2 linked regions of the Struthio camelus genome follow. The protein of the gene in region 2 interacts with the protein of the main gene of each other region in a biochemical or structural test. Links are inferred from orthologs where the notes say so. Each region holds a gene or a part of one and is shown on either strand. Other genes may lie near its edges. The genes, in order: SEMA4A and PLXND1.

Evidence for each region.
Region 1: the proteins of PLXND1 (region 2) and SEMA4A form a complex in vitro, tested with the Homo sapiens proteins (2 studies listed by IntAct, with this or other methods). The link is inferred for Struthio camelus from reciprocal best matches to the Homo sapiens genes PLXND1 and SEMA4A.

Annotation. Positions count from the first base shown.
Region 1 is NC_090971.1:3,847,335-3,862,041, forward strand, and holds the start of SEMA4A (semaphorin-4A), read left to right. Parts: upstream 1-8,511; 5' UTR 8,512-8,735; coding exon 8,736-9,471; intron 9,472-10,059; coding exon 10,060-10,217; intron 10,218-10,310; coding exon 10,311-10,373; intron 10,374-10,450; coding exon 10,451-10,549; intron 10,550-10,630; coding exon 10,631-10,739; intron 10,740-10,836; coding exon 10,837-10,953; intron 10,954-11,041; coding exon 11,042-11,172; intron 11,173-11,250; coding exon 11,251-11,420; intron 11,421-12,341; coding exon 12,342-12,492; intron 12,493-12,575; coding exon 12,576-12,765; intron 12,766-12,843; coding exon 12,844-12,959; intron 12,960-13,042; coding exon 13,043-13,206; intron 13,207-14,152; coding exon 14,153-14,262; intron 14,263-14,397; coding exon 14,398-14,707. Other genes in the region: LMNA (lamin), read left to right, coding at 41-251, 389-496, 738-857, 979-1,077, 2,267-2,530, 3,452-3,484. UniProt on the Homo sapiens protein: Cell surface receptor for PLXNB1, PLXNB2, PLXNB3 and PLXND1 that plays an important role in cell-cell signaling. Regulates glutamatergic and GABAergic synapse development.
Region 2 is NC_090955.1:660,877-675,194, reverse strand, and holds the start of PLXND1 (plexin-D1), read right to left. Parts: upstream 5,513-14,318; coding exon 4,205-5,512; intron 1-4,204. UniProt on the Homo sapiens protein: Cell surface receptor for SEMA4A and for class 3 semaphorins, such as SEMA3A, SEMA3C and SEMA3E. Plays an important role in cell-cell signaling, and in regulating the migration of a wide spectrum of cell types.

The sequences.
Region 1 (14,707 bases), on a different chromosome or scaffold from region 2:
CGTCCTCACCGACTCCATCTCGCCTTCTCCCCCTGTCCAGGCTGAGGCTGTCTCCCAGCCCCTCCTCCCAAAAAGGGGGATCTCGTGGCCATGGGATCCACTTCACCCCGGGCTCCTCCAAGAAGAGGAAGCTCGAGGACAGCGAGAGCCGGACCAGCTTCTCCCATCACGCTCGGACGAGCGGGCGCGTCGGTGTGGAAGAGGTGGACTTGGAGGGCAGATTCGTCCGTCTCCGGAACAAGTCCAACGAGGTGCGTTTGCCTCCAGGGAGGATCCCCAGGGCCTGCTGGATCCCTGCTGGTGTAATTCAGCCCCACTTCACCCTGTGGGCAGGAGGCAAACTGGGACGAGCTGGAGGGTCTCAAGGTTGCTGCTTTCTCTCTCGCAGGACCAGGCGATGGGCAACTGGCAGATCAAGCGGCAGAATGGAGACGATCCCCCCATCACCTACCGCTTCCCCCCAAAGTTCACCTTGAAGGCTGGCCAGATAGTCACGGTGAGTCACGGTGAAGGTCCTGCTGGGCTCCTGGGGGGGATCAGCGGAGGCCCCAACCCCAGCCAGGCCATTGGTCTTGGGAGCCTTCAGAGGCGATGCAGAGCGAGGCATACGATTGCTCGGGTTGGCGCCAGGCAGCGGGCTCCTTGGCACATGGCTCTGCTGGGGACCTGACCCATATCCCCGGGGTCTGGGCTCTGCCGCCCCACGGCATCACCGTTCTCTGTGCTTTTCTCCGCAGATCTGGGCCTCGGGGGCTGGGGCGACCCACAGCCCCCCCAGCGACCTGGTGTGGAAATCCCAGAGCAGCTGGGGCTCTGGGGAGAGCCTGCGGACTGCCCTGATCAACTCCAACGGCGAGGTGAGAGCGCGCGGGGCTGGGGCACGCCACGGCACGGGGAGGGGAGCCGGCCGACACAATCCAGCGGGGCGGCGAAGCAGCACGGGCCAGAGCCCTCTGACCCCTCTCCTGTCCCCTCCAGGAGGTGGCCATGCGGAAGCTGGTCCGCACTGTGATCATCAACGACGAAGACGAGGATGATGAGGATGATGAAGTCAGCATCCACCACCGCCATCACCATGTGAGTACCATGCTCAGGAAGGCGCTGGGCCCGGGGGGTCAGTTGCAGGGATGCTGGGGGAGCTCAGCTCTGGTCCCAGCTCTGGCTGGGCACTTCTGGTCCACTCCTGCTGCTTGGATCGGGGTGGGAGGCCGTTCGGCACCACGGAGGATCAGACCCTATGGGAGAAGGCACCTGGAAGGGTGCACTGGAAACAACCACGTGGAAGAAGCCAGCAGACCGGCGCTCAGAGAAGATGCCTGCTCACCAGGAGGGCTCTGCAGACCTCTCTGGTGATGGTGATGGGGGCAAGCTGAAAGCATCTCCAACCCAGAAGGACCTTGACCTACTGCATGAAGGCATGGAGGAACTGGGACAGAGGGCGAGCTGCTATCTGGAGTAGCCCACCCAGAGCTGGAAGACAGGATGGTGGAAAGTTGATGGAAGACGCTTCCCAACGGCAGCTGCTCCAACCTCTCTGCTTCACCAGGGCTCTGGAACAAATCCAGAGGTGACTTTGTCCTTCCGCTCAGCCCATCACTCCCTTCGCTGAGCTGAAATATGCCCAGGAACAGCAGCATGCGGAGAACAGGCAGCGTGCCAGAAACGGAGCTGCGGCCCCTTCTGCCTGCATCAAAGCAAACATCCCTGGCTGCAGCGATGGGAGCCCCCCACCAGCCCGTCCCTGGGGGCAGAGATCTGTGTCTCGCGCAGGAGGCACCCGCGGGAATCGTGCACGGAGAGGTGCTCTCTCCCTGACCGCACGCCTCGATGCTGCCGAAAAATCTGCCAGATGCAGCTCCCCGGGGCTTTGCATAGCAGGAGCTGGATGCGAGGTACATGATCAGCTTCCCTTCTAATTGCTCTGGATCCAAAGAGCTTTGCCAAGAGGGATATTGATTATCCCTGGATGAACGAGCCAGGCTCCCATGGGCCAGCGCTGCCCATTTGTCAGAGGCCTGAATCCTTTCCAAGGGCGAGTTTCCCAGCAGGAAGCAGTCAGCCGACTCGAGCTGGGCTCTTCAGAGGTAATAAGGAGGAGGATGCTCTCAGCTGAAGATGAGCACGGACAAAAACTCCGAAGAGCAATGAGAAGAGGCCGCCGGGGTCATGCCTGGTGCTGCCGCGGTCCTCGGGGTAGGACGCTCAAGCCAGAAGGCGCTCAGACAGGTACTCAAGGACCTTTTTGTGTGTGTTTCCCCCCGTTTAGGCCAGCTGCAGCGGCTCTGGTGACCCCGGCGAGTACAACCTGCGCTCGCGCACGGTTGTCTGCGGCACGTGCGGCCAGCCGGCCGAGAAGTCGGGAAGCCAGAACGCCGGCATCGGCACCATGTCCTCAGGGTCGTCCACCTCCAGCGTGACCGTCACCCGCAGCTACCGCAGCGTCGGCGGCTCCGGAGGCGGCAGCAGCAGCCTGGGGGACAACCTGGTCACCAGGTCCTACATCCTGGGGAGCTCCAGCCCACGTAGGCAGGTCAGTGCCGTTTCCAGACCCTGCTGAGCCTTGGGGACAGGCTCTTCCTGCTCTGGCTGGTCTTTTTCCTGGCCTTGCATCATCCTTTCTTGACAAGCCAATGCTGCGGGTGTCTCTTCTCCCTCCCTCTTTTCCTCCTCTCTTCTCCTTGCCCTGGGCATCTACTGGCATGTGTAAGGTCTATAAGGTCTATAAGCTCATGTCCCTCGCTCCAAGGAGACGAGCCGAGACGCTGGAGTAAAGGGAGACGATCGGCTCAGCCGGGCGGAGAAGCCGGCGGCCAGAAGGCCCCCGTCTCCCAGCAGTGGGACAGGGAGAGGATGAAGCCGCACGGACCCTTTGAGTCCTGCCTTTGGCCTTGTCCTCCCTCCCAGCCGAGGCCACGGCTCAGGCTCGGACACGCCGTCCCCGCGGGCTCGTCCCGCTCGAAGGCGGCTCGTGCCATCAGGCGCGGGGCAGCGACTGGGGACGGCTTCCCCTTGCTGGCCCGGCGCCATCCCGCCGTCAGCGAGCGCCCGGTGGCACCGTGCCAGGGTATCCGTCACCCGCCACCGTTATCGTGCCGGTGCGGCAAATGCACGGCGGCCAAGCGCTATTAACGGTGGCAACGTGAATATTTCAGCGCTTGGCATTTGCTATCAGATCAGCAGTATTCTCCTCAATATTATTACCCTCATATATTACCACTAATTATGTTTCTGACTTCAGCGCTATAAATACCCCAGCCCGACCCGGAGCATGACGTGCGGCCGAGGCTGCACGTGGCGCCCGCGCTCGGCGGCGGAGCGCGAGGCTGCCGAGAGCGCGGCGGGTGCCCGAGCGGTCCCCGCTCAGACGTTGCTGCCCGTCACCACCGCTACAGTGGGAGCAAACGGATAGTGACGCTGGATTTTTCTTCTTCTTTCTTCTCTTTCCTTCCAGGCTCAGGCTCCACAAAACTGCAGCATCATGTAACTCCAAGGTGCCATTCCTATGTTTCCTGGCCATCTCGAGCTAGTTTTTCCCAAAGCAAAATATTTTTTTTTTCCTTAAAAAAAGTCGAAAACCAAGGTTGGGGTTTTTTTGTTTTCTATAGCAGGAATTTTATATATATATATATATAAAAAAAAATGCTAAAAGATGCTTTGATTTTTTTTTTGTAAAGAAAAAATCTATTTCTATAAAAAAAAAACCAAAAAAAAAAAAGCTTTTCAGCTTCAAAATTTTTTTAAAACTTCAGCCAAAGACACCGAGGAATTGTTTACCGAGCAGCAATGCAGAAACAGATTGTAGTTTAACGGCTCTTTAGATGATAACCTTTTTTGCCAAAGCTTTTTATATAGGACTAGGAGAAGTAAAGCCATCCCCGCCGGAGCCCCGAGAGCGGCGCGCTGCATCGGGCGCCGTTGGCGGGTCGAGACGCCCGGGCCGGATCGTCGGCGGTGCCGGGGCTCGGCGCCACCCCGCGAGTCACCCGGCCGCGCTCGCGGGCGCCTGCCTTGGAGGGTCGTCGTCTGCAGGAGAGCAAAGCGCCTTTGCAACCCACCCACCTTTTTTTTTTTTGGATTTGGACCCAAATTCCTTCTGTTCTTGTTGTCGTTGGGGTTTTTTTTTCTTTTCCCCCCCCGCGGTGCCGGCTCGGGGGGCTCCCGGGGCCGCGTGGGCATTGCCTTCCTGCCGGCCGCCCGCGCCTGCGGCAGCCGCCGCTCCGCTGCCGCCGGAGCTCGCTCCGTGTACTGTATTCCCGGCCAGAGGCACGTCCTTCCCCCTCCCCTTTTTGGGTTTTTTTTTTTTCCCCCCTTTTCTTTCTTTTTTTTTAAAGCAGCCACTGTGTGCCTTAAGGAAGGCGCGGACCCTGCGGGGCGGCCGGGGGTGCCGCTGCGGGAGCTGCGGTGCCACGGGCTGGCCGGGCTCGCCCCCGCCGAGGGATGGAGGTTAGACCGAGGCGGGAAGTGAAAATCCCACGGAGCTTTCCCGAGCCCTGGGCCGAGCCGGGCGTCCCCGGCGCGGGCGAGCGAGCGGGCCGAGCTGCGGCGGGCTGGCACCCAGCGCCCCGTCCTGCCCGCAGGCCGCCGAGCACCGCGGTGGCGGCCGCGCGGGGCGGCGGGTGTTTTTTGCTTCTCCTTTTCGCGGCGGCGTTGGCTGCTCTCGGCCCGGCGGCGGGAGTTCGGGAGCCCAGTTCGGCGGCGGGACGAGGGTGCTTAGCGCAACACGGGGCTGGTTTGTGGGGAAAGAGCGGGGTTGGTTCGAGGGAAGGGGGGGTTTTCGGGGCAGATCCCCCCCCCAACCCGCCCCGGCTTCGCCTGAGGCCCCGTCCAGCTGTCGGCGGAGATTTCTGCTTTTTTTTCCCACGCCGTTTTGGGGGACGCTCACCCCAAGGCCCCCCCTCCGCCTCCCGCTCCGAAGCGTCGCCTCCGCCGGCGGGACCCGCGCGCGTGCCGCTACCTGCTAGCGAAGCTTCTCTATTTACCGCCTGTATTTCCTCCCGAAATCAATACAAGCGAGATCCCTTCCCGCCCCGTGTGCTGTCGTGATTGGCGTCCCCGAGCGCCGCGGGGAGGGATGCTGCAAGCCGGGCCGGCCGGCCGGCGTCTCCGCGGGGCCGGGAGGGTGAAATCTGGGGACGTTTCAATGCTTTTTCCCACCCGGCCAAGGTTTCTGGGAAGGGACGGAGGGGCCTGGGGCAGCGGGAGCGGGCAGGGGGCCGGGCAGGCCGTGCCAGGCCGCGCCGGGCCGGCACCCGCGCAGCGGCGCTGATGCGAGGCGGGAGGAGAGGTCGGCGGGAGGAGAGCCCTAAAGCCGGCGCGTGATCGGCTTTGCCGGGCGCCGCGATGTGAGGCACCGGCTCGCGGGCGGCCGGGGCGCAGCCGCAGCCAGGTAGGTGCCCGCCGCCGTGGCGCGGCCCAGGACGCCGGGGCCCTCTCCCAGCGGCACGGGGTGGCTCCCCCCCCCCTCCCCACCCGCCGGGGGGGCTCGGGTGCCAGCGGGGCTGAGCTGTGCCGGGGCAGGGGGGGCTTTTCCTGCAGATTTGGGCCGGCTGGCAGGGACCGGGCAGCCCCCCGGGATGCACGGCGCTGCCTGTGCACCAGCGTCTCCCCCGTCCCCGGAGGGGGTTGGTGCAGCGGTTCGGGCAGGGGGGGCCCCGAGGCCGATGCAGCCCCCCGGGCGCTCGCCCCGCAGCCGTCGGCGCGGGCGTCCTGCCCCCGGCAGTCACGGGTCCGTCCCCGAAGCGGCGGGTTATTTAGCAAAGACGGCGATGCCGCGGGGGATTGAGGCCAGGCTGCCCCGCTGACCCCGCCGCGGTTAAGCCGGGCGCTCGCCGTCGCGGGGCGGCCGCGGGGGTCCGAGGCCGGGGAGGGGGGAGCGCGGGACGCCGGGGTCCCAGGGGCCGGGCTCTGCCTCTGCCTCCTGGCAGCGGGTTTTGGCTAAGACCATCCGGCTGCCCGGGAGCGGGTTGGCACCGGGCGCGAGCACCTTCGGGCACCCGAGCGCCGGGGGGACCCGGACACCTGGGCCCGCTCGGGGCCTTGGCCCCCGCGTGCCGGGCGAAACGGGGGCCGAGCCGGGGCGGGGAGGGGGGGCGACGTGCGTGGGGTGCAGCCCAGCACCCCGGCTCGTGCAAAGCCCGTCGGGCGGCAACGTTTCCGGGGTGCCGCGTGCTGCGTTGTGCAAGTCCGTCCTCGCGTTGCCCTTCCCTTTCTGCCGGATCCGGCCGTGCCCGGCGCTGCCCTGCCGCCCCCCCCGCCCCGCATCCAGCCGCGTTGCTCCCCCTCCGTGGCTGCCGCTGGCGCCGGGCAAAGGGACAGGGCAGAGGCCGCGCGGGAAGGGAAGGCGGTGGCGGAGGGCGGCCGCGGCCGGCGGGGGCTGGCAGCCGCCTGGGGAAGGGGAAGGAGCGCGCGGAGCGAAGCAGAAGTGGGACCCACCGGTGCCAGACGAGCCGGGGGTTCTTCCGCCGGGGGGTTTTTGAGGGGGGAAGTGATTTAGCGAAGCGAAATCGAGGCACCCCGGAGCCGGGGCGCTGCCAGGGAGCGAGGAGGGGGCCGCGCGCCGCAGGGACAGGGCGGCGGAGCACGTCAGGAGCCGCCGGACAGGACACGCGTGTGCGTGCAGCCGCCGGAGGGGCCGCTCTGCACGGCTGCGTTCAGGTCTGTGCGTGCGTGTGCAGGTCCGTGTGTGCGTGTGCAGGTCCGTGCGTGCGTGTGAAGGTCCGTGCACACGTGTGCAGGTCTGTGCACACATGTACAGGTCTGTGCGTGCATGTGCAGGTCCGTGCGCATGTGTGCAGGTCCGTGCATGTGTGTGCAGATCCGTGTGCACATGTGCAGGTCCTTGTGTGCATGTGTGCAGGTCCGTGTGTGCGTGTGCAGGTCCGTGCGTGCGTGTGAAGGTCTGTGCACGCGTGTGCAGGTCCGTGCATGTGTGTGCAGATCCGTGTGCACATGTGCAGGTCCGTGTGTGCATGTGTGCAGGTCCGTGCACGCGTGTGAAGGTCCGTGCACGCGTGTGAAGGTCCGTGCACACGTGTGCAGGTCCGTGCATGTGTGTGCAGCTCTGTGTGCACATGTGCAGGTCCGTGTGTGCATGTGTGCAGGTCCGTGCACGCGTGTGCAGGTCCGTGCACGCGTCCGTGTACATGGGCACGCCTGAGCCCACCCGCGGGCATGCACGAGCGTGCACGTCGGTGCGTGTCCCGGCGCGTGCAGGCGTGTGCACGGCTGCGTGTCGAGGCGCACGTGGCCGCGGGAGCGCGGCCGCGGCCGTGCGGGTGTGCGTGCGTGTGCGGGTGTGCGCGGGTGCGGGTGATGCCCGCCGGAGCCGGCGCGAGGCGAGCCGTAGCCATGGTGATGTGAGCAGGATCCGGCGGCCCCACAAGGGATGCTGGCCCCGGCAGGCCTCCCCCGCGGCCGCCGCGCCGCTGCTCCGCCAGGTCGGTGCCGCGTGGGGACGGGGACGGGGGCAGCTCCTTGGGGGGGGGGGGATCCCCGGTGGCCTGGGGGGCTTCGGGCTGGGGCTGGGGTTTGCTGTGGCAGGGCCGTGGCTGGGGGGCGACCCCTCGGATGGCTCCGATGATCCGGGGCGACGAAGGGGTTGAGGGTCCCAGTCCAGGGAGATCATCCCTGCATCCCTGCCCCGCTTTGCATCCCCCCCCTCTTTTGCATCCCCCTCTTTGCATTTCCCCCCTTGCAAGCTCCCCTTGCAAACCCCTCTTGCAAGCCCCCCTTACATCTCCCTTTTGCATCCCTCCCCATTGCATCCCCCCTTTGCATCCCCCCATTGCATCCCCCTTCGCATCCCCCCCAGCATCCCTCCTTGCATCTCCCCTTGCCAGCCCCCCCTTTGCATCCACTTACATTTCTCCCCTTACATCCCACTTTGCAGCCCCGCTATGCACCCCCTGAATCCCACCCCTGCAAAACATTGCCAAAAATCCCCCATATCCTTCCTGCACTCCCCTTTTGCCTCCCCCCACCCCGTGCATCCCCCCACGTCCTGCTCTGCCTCCCCCTCTGCCCCCCCCCTGCACTGGGGCCCAGGCAGGTGCAAAGCAGCCCCCACCCCGAGCCTGCAGCTCACCGCACCGTTGCAGCCCCCGGGGGAAACTGAGGCACGGGGACAGCCCTGCCGGTGCAGCGCGGCGTCCCAGGGGCCGGGTGTGCAGCCGGGCTCGGGGCCCCAGCGGGGAAGGGTTAATCCGCTCTTGTGCAAAGCGGCTGCATTTTCCTGAGCTCCGGGAGGATCGCCCGGCTGGGCGAGGAGGCGGCGGGTCCGCGAGGCGGCAGGAGCTCGCGGCCCGCAGCGCCCGCCGGAGCAGCCTCGGGGCTGCTCTCGTTTCACAGCCCCGCTCCCGCGTGGGCTTCTCCCGTCCCCGAGAGCCGCCGCCGTCGCCTCCTTTCCCGTCCCTCCTCCCCTCCGCCGGCCCCGGTGGCTCCGGCCCAGGGCGCAACAATGCGGCCGGTGCGAGGCTCCGGGCGGCCCCGGTTCGCAGCCAAACCGGCCGCCGGTGGCAAATCCGGCGCCGAGTAACCTACTTTCTGGGCTCACAAGGAGCTTTCTGTGCCGGCCGAGCGAGGTGGCGGGGAGAGGGTGCCCCGCCGTGCCCGCCGCCCCGGGGGCAGGCAGGTAGGCAGGCCGGGATGGGGGGGCCGGGTGCTGGGATTGGGGGGGGGCCGGACGCCTGGGCTCTTCGTGCGGGTGATGCTCGGCCCCAGGGGGTGTTCGTGGGGTGATGCTCGGCGCCGGGCAGGACCCGCTGTGCTCCGAGCCCAGAGCTCTCGCCCAGCGTCAGGGAGGGGACCCAGGCGTCCGGGCCCTTGGGGAGCGCGGGCGGGCGAGGCGGGTGCCGGGCCCTCGACCTGCTGGGGCTCGTCCTCCCCCAGCAAGACTTTCTGGTTCGCGGAGGCCCCGGCGGCACCGCCGGCTCCTCCCCAGCCGGGGCGGCCGCGGCAGGCTGCAGGGAGCGCGGCCGGGGCGCCGGGTATGGACCCGCCGATCCCCGCTGCCGGCGGCCCCCCGGGGCCGGGCACCCTCTGGGCGACGGCACTCAACACCCACGGGTGACCGAGCTCCTTCCTCACCCGCCGGAGAGGTAACGCCCATCACCGTGGCGTCAGGCCTGCTCAGCTGGAGTGCAATATCGGCGGGGGGGGGAGGGGGGAGGATCCGCAGGGGGCAAACGGAGGCCAGCCGCGGTGCCCGCCGGCGACGTCGCCCCACATGCCGGGGCGGCCCCCCGGGCTTCCCGCTCTCGTTTCCGCTTGCCGCCTCGTCGCCGCTCACGCCGGGCCTCCGCGCAGGGACGGTGCCGGGGCCCCGCGGCGCGGCGTCCCCCCCGCCTCCCTCCCCGGCCCGGACCGCCGTGCCCCCCGCCATGCCCGGCGCGGCCCTCCGCCTGCTCTGCGCCGTGCTGCTGCCGGCCGCCGTCCTCCGCGCCGAGCCGCTGCCCCGCGTCGCCTTCGCCGCCGGTGAGTGCGGCCCCCCGGCGCGGGGTTGGGGGGAAAAATGTTGGGGGGGGGGGGAAGGAAACGGAAAAGAGGGGGGGAGCATGGGGACAAGCCGGGTCGGGGGGCAGCAGCTTGGGGGGGGGGGGCGCATCCGTCCCGCCGCCGGTGCCGAGCATCCGGCCGGGTAGCCAGGGAGCATCCCGGCCGGCCGGCGCGCGGGGGGGCCGGCTTTCCCGGTGGCCGGCGGTAATTAAAAAGGGGTAATTAGCGGGGTTGCGGAGCTGCACCCCAGGGGCTGAGGTCGGGCGGCGGGGAGAGGCTTGGTCCCCCCCGAACCGGCTGGTGGGGGGCCCGGCGCAGCCCCCACCCCGCCACTTCCCCTTCCCGGCACCGCGGTTCGGGGAGTTGCCAAATTTCCCTCTTCTTAATTTCTGCCTTTGCAGCCGCTGCTGGGGGGGGGGGAGGGGGGTGCATTTGGGCACATCCGGGTGGGCGACGCAGCCCCCCCCCCCCAATCCCGGCGCGGCGCAGCCGGGAACGCACCCGCCTTGGGGCAGGGAAGAGCTGCTCGAGGGGTTTTTTATTTTTTTGGGGGGGGGGCGCTGCCAGGGGACGCCCGGCGGCCCCTCGCCCGCCTCGGCCCGCCCGACGTCTCCGACTGCGACGTCCTGCTGCTGCGCGAGGACGAGGAGGAGCTGTACGTGGGGGCCCGCGACCGGCTGCTGGCCCTCGCCGTGGGGCCGGCCGCCGTCCCCGGCGAGGCTTCGGTGAGCGGGCGGCGGCGTGGTCGCTTGCCGTGCCTCGGTTTCCCCCTTCCCCTTCCTTCCCCGGCCTCGGCACCGTCTCACCTGCCTCCTCAGATCCCGTGGGGCCCCACGGCGGAGAAGACCTCCGAGTGCGCCTTCAAGAAGAAGAGCCGGGAGGTGAGGAAGAGCGGGGCCGGCGGGCGGGTGGGACGCGTCCGCGCCGCCCCGCTTCACCCGCGCCCGGCCCCGCGCAGACCGAGTGCTTCAACTTCGTGCGGGTGCTCGTGGCCCTCAACCGGACCCACCTGTACGCCTGCGGCACCTACGCCTTCAGCCCGGCGTGCACCTACGTGGTGAGTTGTGTCCCCGAGCTTGGAGGGCTTCAGTTTTGGGGGTTTCCTTCCCCATCACCGCTGGCCCTTTCCCCCCTCCAGCATCTGGAGAACTTCACGCTGGTGTCCAGCGGCCGAGGACAACCTTTCCTGGACGGCAAGGGCCAGTGTCCCTTCGACCCCCAGCACGCCCACACGGCCCTGCTGGTGGGTGAGTTCGGGGCCGGGGTTGGGGTTGGGGTGGTGGGGACGCCGCGGGGCGGTTGGGCAGGCGAGGACCCGCTCAGGCCCGCTCCTCGGCCGGCTAGACGGCGAGCTCTACGCCGGCACCATGAACAACTTCCAAGGCAACGAGCCCATCATCTCCCGCTCGCTGGGCGGCCGGACGCCGCTCAAGACGGACGCCTTCCTGCGCTGGCTCTCAGGTGGGGACGAAGCCGGGGACGGGGGACACGGCGGCGCGCCGAGGGTCCCCCGCGCCGGCACCTGACCGCCCCGGGTCCTGCCCCGCAGCCGACGCCGCCTTCGTGGCCTCCTTCTCCGCGCCGGGCGACGACAAGGTCTACTTCTTCTTGGAGGAGACGGCCGACGAGTTTGACTTCTTCGAGCGGCTGCTGGTGCCGCGGGTGGCCCGCGTCTGCAAGGTAGGACGGGGCCGGGCAGGCGGGTCGCGGCCGGCCGGCCGGCCGCCTCGGGGTGCTGAGCGGCCGCCGCCGCCGCAGAGCGACGTCGGCGGCGACAAGGTGCTGCAGAAGAAGTGGACGACGTTCCTCAAGGCGCAGCTGGTGTGCTCGCAGCCCGGCCGCTTCGCCTTCAACGTCATCCGGCACGCCGTCGGGCTGCCCCGCCGCGCCGGCCGCGCCGACTTCTACGCCGTCTTCACCTCGCAGTGGTAGGGCCGGGCTCCTCGGGGGCGCGCGCCGGGGGCCTGGGGGCGTGCGCGGGGGGGGTTTGGGGTGGGCAAGGGGGTTTGGGGCACGCAGAGGGGTTTGGGGCATGCAGAGGGGTTTAGGATGCACACAGGGATTCAGGCGTGCAAAGGGATTTGGGGGGTGGGCACGGGGATTTGGGGGTGGGCATGGGGATTTGGGGGTGTGCACAGGGATTCGAGGGTGTGCATGGGGATTTGTGGGTGTGCACAGGGATATGGGTGAGCACGGGGATTTGGGGGGCATGCACGGGGATTTGGGGGTGTGCCCGGGGATTTGGGTGTGCCCGGGGATTTCAGGCTGTGCACAGGGATTTGGGGGGCGTGCACGGAGATTTGGGGGTCTGCACAGGGATTTGGGTGTGCGCAGGGGTTTGGGGGGCGTGCACGGAGATTTGGGGGTCTGCACAGGGATTTGGGGGCACGTATGGGGATTTGGGCGTGCACCGGGATTTGGGCGTGCACAGGGGTTTGGGATGCACACAGGGATTTGGGCATGCATGGGGGTTTGGGGTGTTCAGGGGGGTTTGGGAAGCACACAGGGATTTGGGGACATGCCCGGGGATTTGGGCATGAACGGGGATTTGGGCGTGCAGGGGGGGTTAGGGGTGTGCACAGGGGTTTGGGTGTGCACAGGGATTTGGGGGTGTGCACAGGGATTTGGGTGTGCACGGGGATATGGGGGGCATGCACGGGGATTTCAGGGCTGTGCACAGGGATTTGGGGGTGTGCACAGAGATTTGGAGTGTGCATGGGGATCTCAGGGTTGTGCATGGGGGTTTTGGGGCATGCATGGGGATTTTGGGGCGTGCACGGGGATTTGGAGACGTGCCCGGGGATATGGGGGCGGCCCCGGCCCCTCGCCCACGGCGCCGGTCCCCGCAGGCAGGCGGGCACGGCCGGCAGCGCGGCCGTGTGCGCCTACAGCCAGGAGGCGGTCGAGGAGGTCTTCAAGGGCAAGTACAAGGAGCTGAACAAGGAGAGCTCCCGCTGGACCGTCTACGGGGGGCCCGACATGAGCCCCCGGCCCGGCAGCGTGAGTCCTTCGCCGGCGACGGGCAAGGGTTTTCCGTCCTCCTCCTGGGGCCGTGCCTCAGTTTCCCCCCGCCGGCTCCGCAGTGCTCCGTGGGCCCCTCCTCGGACAAAGCGCTGACCTTCATGAAGGACCACTTCCTCATGGACGGGAAGGTGCTGCCCAGCCAGGGGCGGCCCGTGCTGGTGCGGACGGGCGTCGAGTACACGCGCATCGCCGTGGACGAGCCCCGCGGCCTCTCGGGGACCTCCTACCGTGTCCTCTTCCTGGCCACCGGTAGGTCGGCGGGAGGCTGGGCCACCCTGGTGGCTTGTCAGACCCCACCGCCGGGTGACGTCCGGCCTGTCCCCGCAGCCGACGGGTCCCTGGAGAAAGCGGTGGAGCTGCCGGGGACCTCCCACATCGTGGAGAGCATCCAGCTCTTCCACCCGCCCGAGCCGGTGAAGAGCCTGCTGCTGGCCCCGGGCAAGGTGGGTACCGGTGGGAGCTGCTGCCAGCCGATCTGAGCCGGGCCGAGTTGAGTCGGGGCTCAGCCCGGCGCCTCTGCCCCCAGGGCGTCCTCTACGTGGGCTACTCCGGCGGGGTGCTGCAGGTGCCGCTGGCCAACTGCAGCGTGTACGGGAGCTGCGCCGAGTGCCTGCTGGCCCGCGACCCCTACTGCGCCTGGGACGGCCTCAACCGCTCCTGCCGGCCCGTGCGCCACGCCGGCGCCCACCCGTGAGCCGGGCCGCCGGGGACGGGGGTGGCGGGTTGGAGATGGAGGCACCGGGGATGGAGACATCAACATGGAGATACTGGGGATGGGAATGGGGACACCAGGGATGGAGATGGAGGCACCAGGGATGGGGACACCAGGGGTGGGAATGGGGACACCAGGGATGGGGACACCAGCACGGAGATACTGGGGATGGGAGTGGGGGGACACTGGGGATGGGGACACCATGGATGGGGTTGGGGGCACCAGGGATGGGGACACCAGGGGTGAGGATGGGGGCACTGGGGATGGGGACATCAGCATGGAGATACTGGGGATGGGAATGGGGGGGCACTGGGGATGGGGACATGAGGGATGGGGATGAGGGCACTGGGGATGGGGACACCACCATGGAGATACTGGGGATGGGGATGGGGACACGAGGGATGGGGATACCAGGGATGGGGACACTGGGGATGGGGACATCGGGGTTGAGGACACTGCGGGGGGGGACACCAGCATGGGGACATTGGAGATGGGGACACCATGGGGACACCAGGGATGGGGATGGGGACAGGAGGGATGGGGATGGGGGCACTGGGGATGGGGACACCACCATGGAGATACTGGGGATGGGGATGGGGACACGAGGGATGGGGATACCAGGGATGGGGGCACTGGGGATGGGGACATCGGGGTTGAGGACACTGGGGGGGGGGACACCAGGGATGGGGATGGAAACACCAGCATGGGGACATTGGGGATGGGGACACCATGGGGACACCGGGGATGGGAATGGGGACGCTGGGGGTGGGGACACCAGGGATGCTGGGGCCGGGGACAAGCAGGGAGACACCGGGGCCGGGGTCAGCGGGGATGGGGACAGCGGGAGGGCCGCCGGGGACGGGGGTTAGGGACACGGAGCGGGGCCGAGGCGGGGATGGTGAGGCCGAGCGCCGGCGGCCGCAGGAGCGGTTGGCTGCAGGACGTCGAAGCGGGCCAGCCGGCCGCCGCTTGCCACCGGGGCCGGAGCGGGACGGTGCCCCGAGCCGGGACGTCGCCGGACGCCGCCGTAGAGAGTTGAGTATCGGGGAAGGGTGATGACGGACGGAGGGTGGGATGGGGGGGCACCACGGTGGGGGCACGCGGCGGGCGGCACCTGAGCTCGCCCCCGTCCCCTCTCCCCTCTCCGTGGCCGGCCCGTGTCCCCGCAGCGCTCAGCCCCGCGCCGCACACCGTGGTGCGGCTGCCGTGCCCGCGGCGCTCGGCCCTGGCCACCTACGCCTGGCAGCAGCCGGCCGCGGGGCCACCGGAGGAGACCACCACCACCACCACCACCACCGCCACCACCGCCACCACCGTGCTGCTGCCCGACCACACGCTGCTGGTGCTCGTGCGGCGCGGGGCGGCCGGCCTCTACCGCTGCCAGGCCACCGAGAACGGCTACACCTGGACGGTGGCCCAGTACATGCTGCGCGAGCCGGCGGCCACCCAGGAGGAGGAGGAGGAGGAGGAAGATGCCCA
Region 2 (14,318 bases):
TCCAGGGGAGACGTGGATCCCTGGATTGCAAATTTAAATCGAACGACAACACATCTGCTTTCTCTAGTACCGTCCAGAGATTTTTTTTTTCTTTTAAGGAGACGGTGGGGCTCTAGGTGGGAAAACACAAAAGGCGGCTGAAGGATTCAGGTGCCTGGGGTGGGGTTACCAGCTTCGCTTTCTTTCAACTGTGAGTTTGTCGTATATTGTATTTTATTTTGTGTTAAACTCGGATCCTCAAAGCAGCCAACACTGGGATACAGACAGCGCGAAGGGTTGTAGAGATGACCTAAAATTCATGTTTACTTGTCATCGTGCTGTTGTTGCAGCCGAGGAAAGGGAGCTGAAACTGCCCGGCAGCCCCCGGCGCGTCCCCTGCCCTACGCGCCGGCCGGAGACGGGAGCCCGTCGGGACGCGGACGGCGTGGGGCAGCGCGGCCAGCCGGCGCCGGAGGAGCCGCCGCAGCGTCGTTTCTAGCGCTGCCGAGGGGGACGCCGGGAGCCCTGCGCGGCCCTGGCGCCCACCGGACCGCGAGCCAGCTGGGCGGAAGAGGTTAAACAGGGAGGCACCCGCTGGGGCTCCCCAGGCTTTGGCAAGGCCTGTCAGCTCACTGCTGCAAGCCGCGCTGAGGACAGGGCGGCTACGGCAGAGACTGCGTGCTCCTTTTCTCTCCTGGAGGCCTGGGTTCAAGTTCTGCCGAGGATTTTCGTGGTGAAAACGCGGCAATGACTTCACGTGGGCGTTTCATTTGAACTGCCCGTGTTACAGAAACAGCCCACTGTTTGACACAAAATTTATTATAAAAAGCTCTTTCTGTTGAGGGAAAGCAATACTAGAGCTCACCCATTCACTCTCAGTCCAAAAAAAAGGAAAAAGGGGGGGGGGGGCGGGGAGAAAAAGCTCAAACTCAATCCTTCCTTAATGCATACCCCTTCCCCTAAGCCGCCGGTGTTAACTCAGCTCCCGGGGGAGCGATGAGACACCGCGCTCGTCGAGCCCCAGCCCGCCTCCACCCCTTGCCTAGGACGGTTCCCGCGCCCCCCGCCTCTCAGCGCAGCCGCCAAGCGCGCCCCTCGCCAAAGCGAACAGGACCATCCCCAGGCCGAGCCCGCAACCCGTCCCACCCAGCCGTCGGGGACCCCTCAAGGGCCCGAGGCGCCGGTACCTCCGCAGCGGGAGCCCAGGCCGAGCGCCGCTGCCCGCCGCCCCCCCGGGCCACGGCACCCCCCTACGGGTCCGAGGGCCGCCGGAGCGGGGCATCGCCCGACCCCGACCCCGACGGCCGCCGCTCGCGCCCGCTCTCCCGCGCCGGCGGTTTCGTCCCACGGTTAAGTGCTGCAGGCGAGGAGCATTCAATTAGTCGGAACAGCACACGAGGGGGCAATGATTTCCCTTTCACGCAGCATTACGCCCAGCAGCCAGCGCGCCCTGCCGTAACCGCCGACCACTTTAGCCTAACGTGTTTTTGCAGCGAGTCAGGCAACCATTACACGGGTTTTTTCCAGAAGGAGTTTAAAACCCAGCAGCCTAGTCTACAGAAAGAACTAACCAACTGCAATTTTGGTAATGCTCGAGCACCTCTAAGCTACACGTAGGCAAAAGAAATCTCGGGAGCCCACTAACAGGTTGGAGAAGTGGCGCTTTTAACGGGAAGGCGGCTAGATGCCCAGCCGCACCACCCAACCAGCTCTGCTGCAACGCATTTTCCTGCTGTGTCCCCAGGCCGGGACGCAAAACGCATTGGAATATTTCATCGTCTCCAAGGTGGAAAACGATGTTAGATTTCTGCAGCACAAAGAAACACAGTATTACAGCTCTTCTCTTGACACAGCCACTCTGGGACTCGAGAAGGAAAACAGCTTGTTAACTTGTTGGCAATTCTAAAGATTAAGTAAAAGGAAAAAGAAATAATGAAAAGCTCGCCTTCTGACTGGTAAGAAGGCTTCCCAGCAGGCTTGGTCAGTGTTTTGAGAGAAATAACGCCTCAAATAAATGGGAAATGCAGAAATATTAAGCACGAGCGAATATTAATAGTATGCCTCACTTATATCCTGCTGTACTCGACATCAAAGGATCTCAGAGCAGCTTTACAACTGTAATCCCTTACTCCGTGTGAGTTAGGCTTCTGAATAACGGTAACAAATATAGGCGGCGCATGCTGCAAGTCAGGAAACTGAGGCACCCGAGGGGGGAACGATGAGCACCAGCACCCAGGCAGCATGCGTGCAAAGCCCGCTCCAGGACCCAGCTTTCCCTGCCCAGCCCCACTACCACTAACCCATACCGCTGCTTCGCTGCAAACGCAAGTTTTCCTATGGCCTGATCTTGCCGCAATGCTAAACATAGAGGATTTCTGCTGACTTCTGTAGGATTAGAGGAGGCCCAGCATTTTACAGCTTGCTCCTCTGAATATCGTATACCCAATCTTAAATTCAACCATCCTCCAGAACGCAGCCATTCCTTTACAGAACTAGCAGACAGTATATTCCTAGTCACCTCCATGCTCAGATAAGCTCCTGAGTGTGGCATTTATGTCAGAATTAAGCTCATTAGAAGTGTAGTTCTCAAAAACATTTACTGATTTTGTTATTTCCTGTAGGTAATTGCTCTGCGCTGTAAAACCTGCTCCTCATCCTCCTTCTGGCACTGTCTTTGGCTCTGGGTTAGGCCAGTCTCAGCCTTTCCGCCACCCTTCCCACCTCCTCAGAGTACCGAGAGGAGCGGTGCTCTTAGGGGTACGCCTTAGGGTGGGTGGAACAACGTTATGGGCCAGATCCAAAGACGCAGGGAAACCCTCAGTTACGTGCCGAGCCGTTACGTGCCGAGTGACGCGCTGAGAAACGGAGGAATCAGGTGTCTAAACATCTCACTAGATATAACCAGATACAATTTTTGATATTTCAAATAGTAATACACCAGAGTTATTATTTTCCCTATTGAACAAAAGTCAGAAAAAAAATGCATTTTTCAAACAGTCAAGGAGTACTGGGGAAGCTCAGGGGAGCCGGGTGCCTTTCTGCCATTGACTTTCAATTAAAATTGGACCCTTAACGCTCTAAATAATTCCCAGAAACCTCAGCCACAACGTCTGCTCTCGGGGGCTTCGACTGGGACGTTACGATCCTGCGAGGTGCTGAGGGTCTGATTCTCAGGGACGCTGAGCTTCAACTAACGCCAACAAGAACCGCAGGTGTTTTCCAGTCCTGTAAATACGATTCCTGACTCCCAGCGACTCCTCCGAGAGCTGTGACCGTGCCAGGACTTCAGAGCTGGGCTCCTGGTGTTTAATGCACTGAGTCTTTGTGGAATTAACTCAAAAGCCAGGACAACTACCAGACTTCCTGGCTGTCAGGCAGCTTGTACTTTGCCACCAGGGGAAAGCTATGCAACTTTGCTAGAGCAGGTCTATGAACCCGAGCATTAAGACTACGTATGTTAACACAGCGTGGCGATGCCACACTAAACACCTCGGTTACCATGGCAAACCTTTCTCTCTGCCACTGGCACAGCGCAGGGAAGCCGGAGCCCAAACGCTCTGTCTTGCCTCTGAAACCAAACAGATGTTTTTACGATCTCTGACGGAGCTGAGTTATGCATCCTTCCCAGAGGAAGGGAAAAATGCAGGGGTAAAGCAGCTCCTTCTTCTTTTTCTTTCTTTTCTTTTTTTTTTTTTTTTTTTTTAAACAGTGCACGTCTTTAGTGAAGGGGAAAACAGGCGTCTTTATCTGGCTTTAGCGTTTATGCCCACTTGGTAACAAATTGTGACAATGGCAAAACTTTCACCCCAAACGCAAGCAAACAAGGCAGCCTCTGTGCGCAGGTCCCGCTCTGCGCGGAGCACGCGCCGCCCGCCGCGGGGACGTGGGAAGGGAGCGGCTGGACCCGAGGACGCTGGCCGGGCTGCTGTCCCTCCGCGTCCGCGCAGGGAGCAGCCGCCAGCGAGAGTCAGAAAAATAAAGTGTGAGTCACTGCGAGTCCACTGGGGACAGGGGACGTGGGAATGGAGACGGTCCTTGATGGGGGGGGCACCGCGCACACCCGCAGGTCTCTCTACGCGTGAGCGGCGCCGCGCCTGGCTCGGCGCGCCGCAGCGGGGCAGCGCACACCCACGCGGCGGCGGCGGTCCCGCGTGGGCGCGCGGCCCGGGGGGGTGGGGGGGAGCGCCCGCCCGGTGCCCGGTGCCCGCCGCCCGCGCCCCCCTACCTGGATGTTCCTCTTCTCGCAGGCCGGGCCGGTGCCCTGCACCACGCTGTCCAGCACGGCCACGGCGCCGGCGGCCGGGCTGGCGAAGCAGGCGCTGCGCGCCGCCCGGATGGCCTCCTCGATGTCGGCGAAGCGGAAGGCGCAGAGGGCCGAGCGCGGCCGCCCGCCGCCCGCCCGCGCGAAGACGCCGAAGAGCCGCTCGCCGCCGCCGCCCGCCCGCGCCGGGCACACGGACACGAGCCGCGTGAAGCCGCCGGCCGCGCCGCAGCGCAGCCCCAGCTGGATGTAGGACTCGGTCAGCTTCTTGGGCTCGGCGCTGCCGTTGAGCGGCGGCTCGGCCGCGTCGCCCAGGCAGATGCGCGCCAGCAGGCTGTGCGAGGGGCTCTCCTTGCTGCCCGCGTTGGCCTCGCTGTTGAGCGCCAGGTAGGCGTAGGGGCGGCGGGCGGCGGGCGCGGGGCGCCGGGCGCCGCCGTGCAGGAAGGCGCGCACGAAGCTCAGCTTGTGCCGCGCCTTGGCGCCCTGCTTGATCTTGAAGATGTTGTCGTCGGAGGGGTTGATGTCGAAGGTGAAGAGGCGGGCCAGGTCGCCGCGGGCGTTGAGGGCGCGGATGGCGATCTCGGGCGTGTTCTCGAAGCGGTGGTCCTCCAGGCTCTGGTTGCGGGGGAAGAAGGGGCTGCCGAAGCCCGTGTAGGTGGCGGCCACCAGCAGCCGCGTGTCGCCGCCGCGGCGCAGCACCAGCCCCACGGTGGAGGCGTTGGGGTGGTTGGCCGCCACGTTGAGCATGCTGGGGAAGACGGTGACCGGCTCGTCGCCGCCGCCGCCGCCCGGCGGGAAGCGCACGGCCACGGCGGAGATGTTGGCCATGCTGCGCAGCTGGCAGAAGCCCTGGTAGATGGAGCCGCAGACCACCAGCACGCCCTGCGCCGGGTCGGGCTGCAGCAGCTTGTTGTAGTTGTTGGTGAGCACCTTGGGGTGCTCGCAGGAGGCCTGCGGCAGCTGCGGCGCGTGGCACAGCGGGTTGTCCAGCACCGGCCCCACCGCCTCCTCCACCTCCAGCGTCAGGTTGGGCCCCGAGAGCTGGTACAGCCGGTTGACGGCCGCCAGGTAGACGCGGGTGCCCGCGCCGTCCAGCGCGAAGTTGTTGGTGGGGGTGGGCGAGAGGAACTTGCGCTGCACCTCCAGCCCGGCGCCCGGCAGCGGCGGCAGCAGCAGCAGCGGCAGCAGCAGCAGCAGCAGCGGCGGCGGCGGCGGCAGCAGCGCGGCGGAGCCCCGCGGCCCCGCGCCCGCCGCCGCCGGAGCCGGAGCCATGGTGCCGCCGGCGGGGCCGCAGAGGAGCGCTCCCGCGGAGCCGGCTGCCGCGGCGCGGAGCAGGCGGGGAAGGCGGCGAGGGGCGGGCGCGGCGGGGGGCGGCGGGGCGCGCTCACGTCCGGGGCGGCCGCGCCTCCGCCCGGCCCGGCCCGCCGCGCCCCCGCCCCCTCGCTTTTGGCATTACTCATCCCCTCCTTCTTTAGGGTTTGTCATGTGAATGTGATTAAGTTGAAAATATTTCCCCCGAGCTGCCGCGCGAGCCTCGCACCAGGCAAACGCAAAAAGCGGCAGCGCCTTGTTCCTCGAGCGCGGCCCCGCTAGCAACAAATAACTCGTGTTCCTTCCTCTCTCTCCCTTGTTCCTCTCCTTACGTTTCTGAGCAGAGCGGGGCCGGGCGGCGCGGAGCGCTCTTCCCCACTGCGCGGCAGCGCGGCCGGCCCGAGCAGCCTCGGCCCCGGGGCTCCGCTTGGAAGCGGCCGCGCGCCGGGGCTTGCGGGGGCCATGCATTAAGTGAAGAAATATTCCAGGCACGTAAAGGGGGGGGGGGGGGCTCGCTGCGGCCTCCCCGGTGTTTCGGTCCCGGCAGCGCGACCGCTCGCCCCGGTCCCTGCCGCTCCCCGGCCGGTCCCTCCCCTCCCCGCGCCGCCGGGATCGCTGCGGGCTGCCGGGGAGCCCCGCGGGGCGCCGCCGAGCAGCGGACGGGGCAGCCTCCCCCCCGGAGACGGAGCAGCCCCCGTGGGAACGCGGCAGCCCCCGTGGGAACGGAGCAGCCCCCGTGGGAACGCGGCAGCCCCCGTGGGAGCGCGGCAGCCCCGTGGGAACGGAGCAGCCCCCGTGGGAACGGGGCTGCGGCGCGCCCGGCAGCGCGGGCTCCCCCGGGCTCCACCGCAGAGCCAGCCCTGCCCGCACCGCTTGCCAAAAGCAGAGCTCAAGACAGGACCGTGCGTCTCCTCTGCCCTCCATCGGCTCTTTTTGACAGTGAAAGAAAAAAAAAAAAGAGGTGCTGGGATTCCTAAATTCCACCCACTGAACTGCACAGAGGGAAAATGCCCCCGAGATAGCGCGGCCTGTGATCCTCCCTCCCTTATCGGCGTGGGAAAGCGCTGCCGCCCAGGCGAAGGTGGCGGTTTGCCTCGCGCGTCTTCTGCCCCCCCGGCCGTGCCGCCCCCGCGGAGCCTGCGCGCCCCCCCCCCCGGCCGGGCCGCCCCCGCGGAGCCTGCGCGCCCCCCCCCCCGGCCGTGCCGCCCCCGCGGAGCCTGCGCGCCCCCCGCCCGGGCCGACCCCCCCCGGAGCCTGCGCGCCCCCCGCCCGGCCGTGCCGCCCCCGCGGAGCTTGCGCGCTCCCCCCCGCCCCCCCCCGGAAGGCCGCTGCGCAGCCGCGGGGACGGCGGCGGGCTCTGGGCCGGGGGCCGCGCTGCCCGCGGGGTGGGCGGGCGCGGAGGGGTGCCAGGAGCGGGGGGCTCATGCGCTGCCTTCGCTCTGCGACACCCCGCGACGTCCCGGCCACGGCGGGTGCCGGGCTAGCGTCGAGGCGCCGGTGCCCCTGTACCGCGTGGGGCCGAGCGTGCCCCCACGCGTGCCCCGCGGGGCTGACGCGGGCGGGATGCCCTGAAACCTGCCACCCCCCCGGGCAGCACCTTGCAGCCTCGGCCCCGCTCGTTCGGCTTTCACCGACGCAGACACGCTAGCGAGGCTGAGGAGGACGCGGAGCGACTTGCGTTCGGGACGGAAACAAACGTGCTGCTGCTGTCCAATCTCATTTCTACACCTGCCAATTTTCCTCACCCCCCTCCAGTCCTCCTCGCCCTCCTCGGAGCGCTAATTAATACATAACTGCCTCGGCCACGCCACGTCCGCTGAAAATGTGCGTTGAATTAAATGTTGTGCTTTTGCGCTATCGAACGCATTGTCTCTGCTAATCATATCCTTAATTAATAGCGATATTAGCTGTTTTTAAATGTGGGGCTTCTTAGTCCTTTTTTTTTAAACTACAAGTTAGCAATTTTTTAATGTGATCATGTCTTTAATTGCACAGAAATAAACCCTCGTGATCCCAAACCCTTAATCTGCCTATTTTAGGATTTCTTATGCCTGCTTATCCTGATAGTAGAGCATCTTCCATGTGAAATCAGCCTTTTAAGGCATATCAAATTAAATTCCAGATTACAGTCAGTTAAAAAAAATTAGGCCAAAGAATACAGAGAAATGTGCGACTTACCCAAAGGTATCCAGTACTGGCTTTGTCAGAAAATTCCCCCAGGAGTTCTGACGCCCATTTCCTACACTGAGCGGTTATCTGCACTGATGCAATTAAAGCCAAAATATTTGTGATATTGAAGGATTATTTGACAAAGATTTTATTACGGTTGTTTTTGTTAGGAAACAATCCTCTGGTAAGATGCTTTGAGGGGAATGTTTTCCAGAAATGATTTCCCACCCCTATTATCTGGGCTGTTAGAAGCCCTAGTGAATCTTTCAGGATAGATAATGTTCCTAATGGAGCAGCAGAGGTTTTTAAATCTCTTATACGCAGATCTCACCATTATTTTGTGTTCAGGAAGGAAAAAAAGGTCAAAATTAAACCACACGCCTGCTGCAATAGACAATCACCCGCCCAGCCAAAGCCCTTCCCGTTTGCCTCCTTCGCACGTTTAAAGATAACAGCTTTTCAGACCTCTCTGCGGGGGAGAGGGGCTGTGTGCAGAGGAACTCAAAAACACTTTAATTATTAATAAATATATTTACACGAGAACAGTTTCCCTTTAGGGGAAACATGAGTTGCTCATGCAGTCACTCGGGTTATATCGACTCGACACTGTTGAAAAGCGGGACCTAATCGCTTTAGTACGGGGCGGGGGGGGTATAAACATCTATTTATTCAGGGGGTTTACCCGCAAGGAGCCCGTGAAGCGCTGCGCGGACCGGGGGAAGCCGGCCCCGCGCGTGGGCGACGGGCTGGTTTGGCTCCGCAGCCGCCAGCGGGCTGCCTGCGGCCGGGCCGCGGTGTCGCTCCCGCGCCGGGTGCCCAGCGGAGGCGTTGCACGGGGGGGGCCGCTGCCGCAGGGCCGGGGGCGCCCGCACCGGCCTCCGCCCGTCCCTGACGGGGAAACCACCGGCCGCGCTCAGGAGCGTTATCAGCCTCGTTTGCAGCCCTCGCGGCTGATCGCTCTCCCACCCACGAAAGACGTCCTGATGGAGGACGACCCCTGCAGCGGCACCGGCTGAGACGCCACCGACGGCGCGAGAGCCGCCCCGGCGTGGCCGGGTTTGCTCCCCGCCGCGCGGCCGGGGTCGGGTCTGCGCGCCGCGGCCCAGCGGCCGGGGGGCTTCGGGGCCGGGAGCTTTCCGGGCGGGATCCCGCTTCTCCCCGCGAGCCCCTTCGCCGGCCCGCGGCGCGTTGGGCCCGAGGCTGCCGCCGCGAAGGGGCTCGGTCGAGCGCAGCGGCAGGACCTGCCCGACCGGGCTGTGACGATATTACTACTATCCACAGCGCCCCTGTTCGTTCCAACCAGTTTCACTTACCTGAGCGGCTTCGGCCTTGTTTTGGCCGTGTTGGCGGGGCTTGGCGAGGCCTCGGTACTGACGCTCACTCTCTGCTTTGGGGTGAAAGCGTCAGATGTGGTTAGCTGTGGAATTATCGTTTGCTTTGAGCTTCTTCGTATCAACTCAAACATTTTGATTAAAATTTCAAAGTGCTTAAAAATTATTCCATGTTGCACTGGGCTCTGATTCAACCCTCTTTGGGCTTTAAGCACCTCCGGTCTCTACCTCGCTGCACAGAGAAGCAGCAGACCCACCACCAGCCCGACAAGTCCTTCGGAGGGCAGGCCCGACCACCGCAAAACCCAAATGCAACCCGGCGGCATCTTCTGGTTCTGGTCCCAGCTCCTCCGCCTCGCCGACAGACCCAGCCCTGCTCCCCGCGTGGGACCATTGCTGCCCCTGCCCAAACCCGGCTCGGAGGACGCTGCCAGACCCCGGCCCGTGCTGGCTCGCGGGGGTCTCGCTAGCGCAGATCCACCTTCAGGTCACTGGAGGTGATTTGCATTGCTATAATCCGAAGTCAGGCAGCACGTCTTTCCCAAAGTCCCCCTGAACATAGCCCAGTAACTTCTGCAGGCAGCCGGGCTGCTGACACACCGTCCCCACCAGGCCGGCCCCAGCCAGACCCTTTCCAGGTGGGCCTTGACGGCACCATCTCGAAACCTACCCTAGCAGTAGCCACCATACCCGATGGCCCAACGAACCCAGCTCATCAACACCTCCAGGTCCCGCCAGGACGCTCCCGGGGCCACCCCAGCCCCTGCCCCTCGGTGCTGCCCTCCCGGCCCCCACCTCCATCCCCAGCCCGGGCGCCCGGGCCTGCAACGCGTCAGGACCCGCGCGGGGCCCTCAGAGCACCTACGCCCTTCCAGGGACGGGAAGGCCCTCTCCGGCCTGGCCGCCCCGTGGTCTCCCCCGTCCCGTATCCGGACCGCGGCACCCGTGCGCTTCCAGGACGGCACGCGCGAGTTACCCCTGACCATCCGTGCCCAACGCGTGAACCGCCTGCGGCTAGGAAACCTGAGGTGCCTTCGTGCCTGCACCCAGCAACGATCCGCCTTCTGCCGGCGCCACGTAAGTCTCAGCTTCAGAGTTGGGCAGCGTGTGGTTCACGTGGCCTCTGGTGGCCTCTCGTCGTAACGTCGCTTGTAGGGCGTCACCTGGCATCAAAACGTCACCGGGTGCCACCCCGATCGGTCTGGGGTGCGTGAGCGGCGGCCGCAGGAGCGCCCGGTGGGGACGCCGTCCAGGCGCAGCGCAGACGGCGCGGTGCACGCACGCACGCCTGCCGGCGCCGAGCTCACCGCAAGCCCAACGTTACAGACCGTGCGCGCCCCTAATACGGACGTTGCAAAGCACCGAGCGCGAACGGAAACATTTGCTTAAGTTTCTACACAAGTGAGAACAGCTTTTTCTGGGGATTATCCGGGCTGGGCAGCAGAACGGGCGCCCCGAAGGGCCCCAGCGGCCGGCAGCGAGGGAGGCGGAGGCAGCGGCAAAGCGGGGCGAGATGGAGCAGCCTGCTGACGGGCCGGGTCCCGCGCCGAGCGCCCCCGGCTGCCCGTCCTGCCCCCTTGGCCGCCGCGCCCTCCAGGTGCGGGAGGCTCCATCGATAGCCATGCTTGCACTAGTAATTCACCCGCCGGTTGAAATATCCGGCCGATCCCATGTTTTCCTCCCTGCCGATGCAAATGAGAGTTGATTGTAAACATCTCGTGCCTAAATTATACCTTAGAGGATCCAAGTAACGCGCTTGGCCTCGCCTGAATTACTTCGGTGACAGCAAGGCAGACAGACGAGCGTGATGGTCCAACGTCCTCCGCTCCTGCCGCCGGACCGTCGCGCCGCCCGCCCGGCGGGAAAGGCGGAAGGGGAGCAGCCCCGGCCCCGGCCCCGCACCAGCGCCCGGCCGGGCCCTGGCCGGCCCCACCGCGGGCCGGCGCCGGGCTGCAAGGCCTCCGCGGCGCTCCGCTCTCCCGGGCGGCCCCGGACCCAGGCACCGCCGGCTCAGCCGGGACGCTGGGGCGGACGGACCGCCTTGGGGGACTGGAGAGGGACAGCAACGAGGCATTGGTGTCGCACCTCTGCACGCGTTGCCCCCGTTTGGGACAGCAAAGTTTGAACCCTTCTTTGCCAACTTAAGAAAAGCAGTGGCTCTTCTGGTGTCGTTGGGGCGGGTGGGGAGCTCCGGGTCGGAGGGACACCACGAGGTCATTGGGACACCACAAGGCCGTGGGGACGCCCCGAGGCCATGGGGGCACCACGAGGCCGTGGGGACGCCCCGAGGCCATGGGGGCACCACAAGGCCATGGGGGCACCACAAGGCCCCATGCCAGCCTTGAGGATGCCCTGAGGCCATGGGGGCGCCCTGAGGCCATGGAGGCACCACAAGGCCATGGGGACACCGGGGAGGGAGGAGAGCAGGGTGCTTCCCGCCAGCAGCGCAGCGCTGGACCCGTCCCGCCTGCCGAAAGCGGAGCCGCCTCTCCCCTTCCCCCGCGCAGACCCCCGGCGGGCGAGCCACCCGCCCCCAGGGCTGCTGGCAGCTTGGGGCGCCCGCCGCCCGCCCTCCGGCGGCAGCCTGGCTGCTTGGCGCGATAGCCGGGCGCCGAGGGAGCGCTCAGCCAATGAAGACACCGTGAGGAAGGTGAAAGAGTGGTTCTTCCTCAGCTAACCAGGGAGAGGGCGGAGGAAACGGGGCGGCAGTTTCCACGGCCGTTCTTCCGGCCGTCCCGCCGTGGTTCCCCCGCGAGGCCCCGGCCTCCGCCCTCCGCCGCCCCCGCGCTGTCCTTGCGGGACGCGGGGAACGGCCTCCTTCGTTTTCAGCTTCAGCGAAGGCAGAAGAGACCGATGGGCAACGTCGGGCCGCGGCGGACAACGCCCGGCTCGGGGGGGCGCGAGCGGCGGCCGCGCGGGGCTCGGGCCGAGAGTGGTGCGCGGCCCAGCGCCACGGGGATGGGCGCCGGCACCAGCTCCGGCTCCAGTCCCCGGCCCCGGCCCCGGCCGCGCTCCCCTCCCGCGACCGAGAGGCCCAGCCCCGCGCGGTGCCGTCCCTCGGCGCCCCTCGGCCGGCAGCAGCCCCGGCGCCCGGCCGCGCTGCGGGAGCGAACCGGACTGTTTCCCGGACGGACCGGGCGGAACGAAGGCAGGGAAGGGAGACGGCTCAAGGGGGAGCAGAGCAGCTCCCCCATACCAGCTGTTTTCAAGAAGCCGCATTAGACACATTATCAAATCAACAGCATCAGGCACAGCTGGCAGTATCGGAGGAGCCAGGAGACGGCGCTTGTCAAAGCCAATACTAAATCAAGGTGGAAAAGCAACCAGGCTCCGGGTGCTTCGGCTCTGCCCCCGGGGCGCTGGTCCCGCCGTCGCTAGGCCACGCGGCCGTCGGCCACCCAGGGGAGGAGCCCCACGTCCGCCACGGGGACGCCACGAGGCCTTGTGCCCACTGTGGGGACACCACGAGGCCATGGGGGCACCACAAGGCCATGGAGACACCACGAGGCCCCATGCCAGCCTTGAGGATGCCCCGAGGCCATGGGGGCGCCCTGAGGCCATGGGGGCACCACAAGGCCATGCGGGCACCACAAGGCCATGGGGACACCACGAGGTCATTGGGACGCCCCGAGGCCGTGGGGACACCACAAGGCCATGCGGGCACCACAAGGCCATGGGGACACCACGAGGTCATTGGGACGCCCCGAGGCCATGGGGACACCACAAGGCCATGGGGACACCACGAGGCCCCATGCCAGCCTTGAGGATGCCCCGAGGCCATGGGGGCGCCCTGAGGCCATGGAGGCACCACAAGGCCATGGGGACACCACAAGGCCATGGGGACACCACGAGGTCATTGGGACACCACAAGGCCGTGGGGACGCCCCGAGGCCATGGGGGCACCACGAGGCCATGGGGACACCACGAGGCCATGGGGGCACCACAAGGCCATGGGGACACCACGAGGCCCCATGCCAGCCTTGAGGATGCCCCGAGGCCATGGGGGCGCCCTGAGGCCATGGGGGCACACAAGGCCATGGGGACACCATGAGGCCATGGGGGTGCCCCAAGCCCCCGTGCCCGTGCGCCTGTTGTGCTCCTGCGGCCGCGGCGAGCCCCGTCCCGCCGCCCGCGAGGCGATGCCCCAGAGCAGGGCTGGGTGTCCTGCTGCCCAGCCGCAGCCGCCAACGCGTTAGCGCGTCCTTCGCCTGGGCTGTGAGCGTGCCAGCGGCTGCCTTGGTGCGGAGACACGGCTTAGGAAAACCAGGGCTCCCCAGGGCTCCCCAGGGCTCCCTCCCTCGCAAGGGCAGAGGGCGGGTTTTGCATATGCTGGGGCCACCGTCGGCATTGCCCGAAATTCCCAGGGTCTCCAGGTGCTCCTGGCAAAGCCCAAACATCCGTGGCCTGAGCCCGCAAGCCGAGAGCTGACAGCAAGAGGAAAGGCAGGTGCCAGCACGGGGCAGATCCCCCAAACGGGGCGTCAGGAGCGGCCCGCAGCCGGGGATGGCGGCTCGCGGCGGCGCTCCGGCCTCGGCCGAAGCGGGCGACGGTGCAGCAACGCAGCCCCCCCCGGACGCGGGGCGACCTGCCTCGGCCCAGCAGCGATGGCCACAAGTGGTGGGAGCAAGAACCGTGGCAAGGGACCACATCCCGTCCCCCGCTGCCGCCCCCCGTCCCCTGCCCGGGCGCCGGCCGCGATTCCTGCAGCAGCTGGGCTGAGACCCTGGTGCAGCCGGGGCCAAACCCCGGCGCCTGCGGGGACTGGTGCAGCTGTGGGGATCGGGTGCCCCCATGGGGATCGGTGTGCTCAGAGGGACCGGGGCGCCCGTGGGGACCGGTGCATCCACAGGGACCGGTGCACCCATGGGGACCGGTGCATCCAAAGGAAATGGTGCAGCCGTGGGGGGACCGGTGCGCCCGTGGGGACTGGTGTGCCCAAAGGGAGCAGTGCATCTGTGGGGACCGGGGCACCCATGACGACCAGCACATCCATGAGGCTCAGCTGCACTCAAGGGGACCAGTGCACCCAAGGGGACCGGTGCACCCAAGGGGACTGGTGCACCCAAGGGAAATGGTGCAGCAGTGGGGGACTGGTGCAGCCGTGGGGATCAGGTGCACCCACGATGACCGGTGCATGCACAGGGACCGGTGCGGGTGCGGGGAGCGGCGCGGGCGCGGGCAGGGCAGCGGGGCCCAGCGCGGGGCGGGTCGCGTCCCACGGGCGCTGCACCGCGCCTGCCACCTGCTGCGAGTGTCCGCAGGCCGGA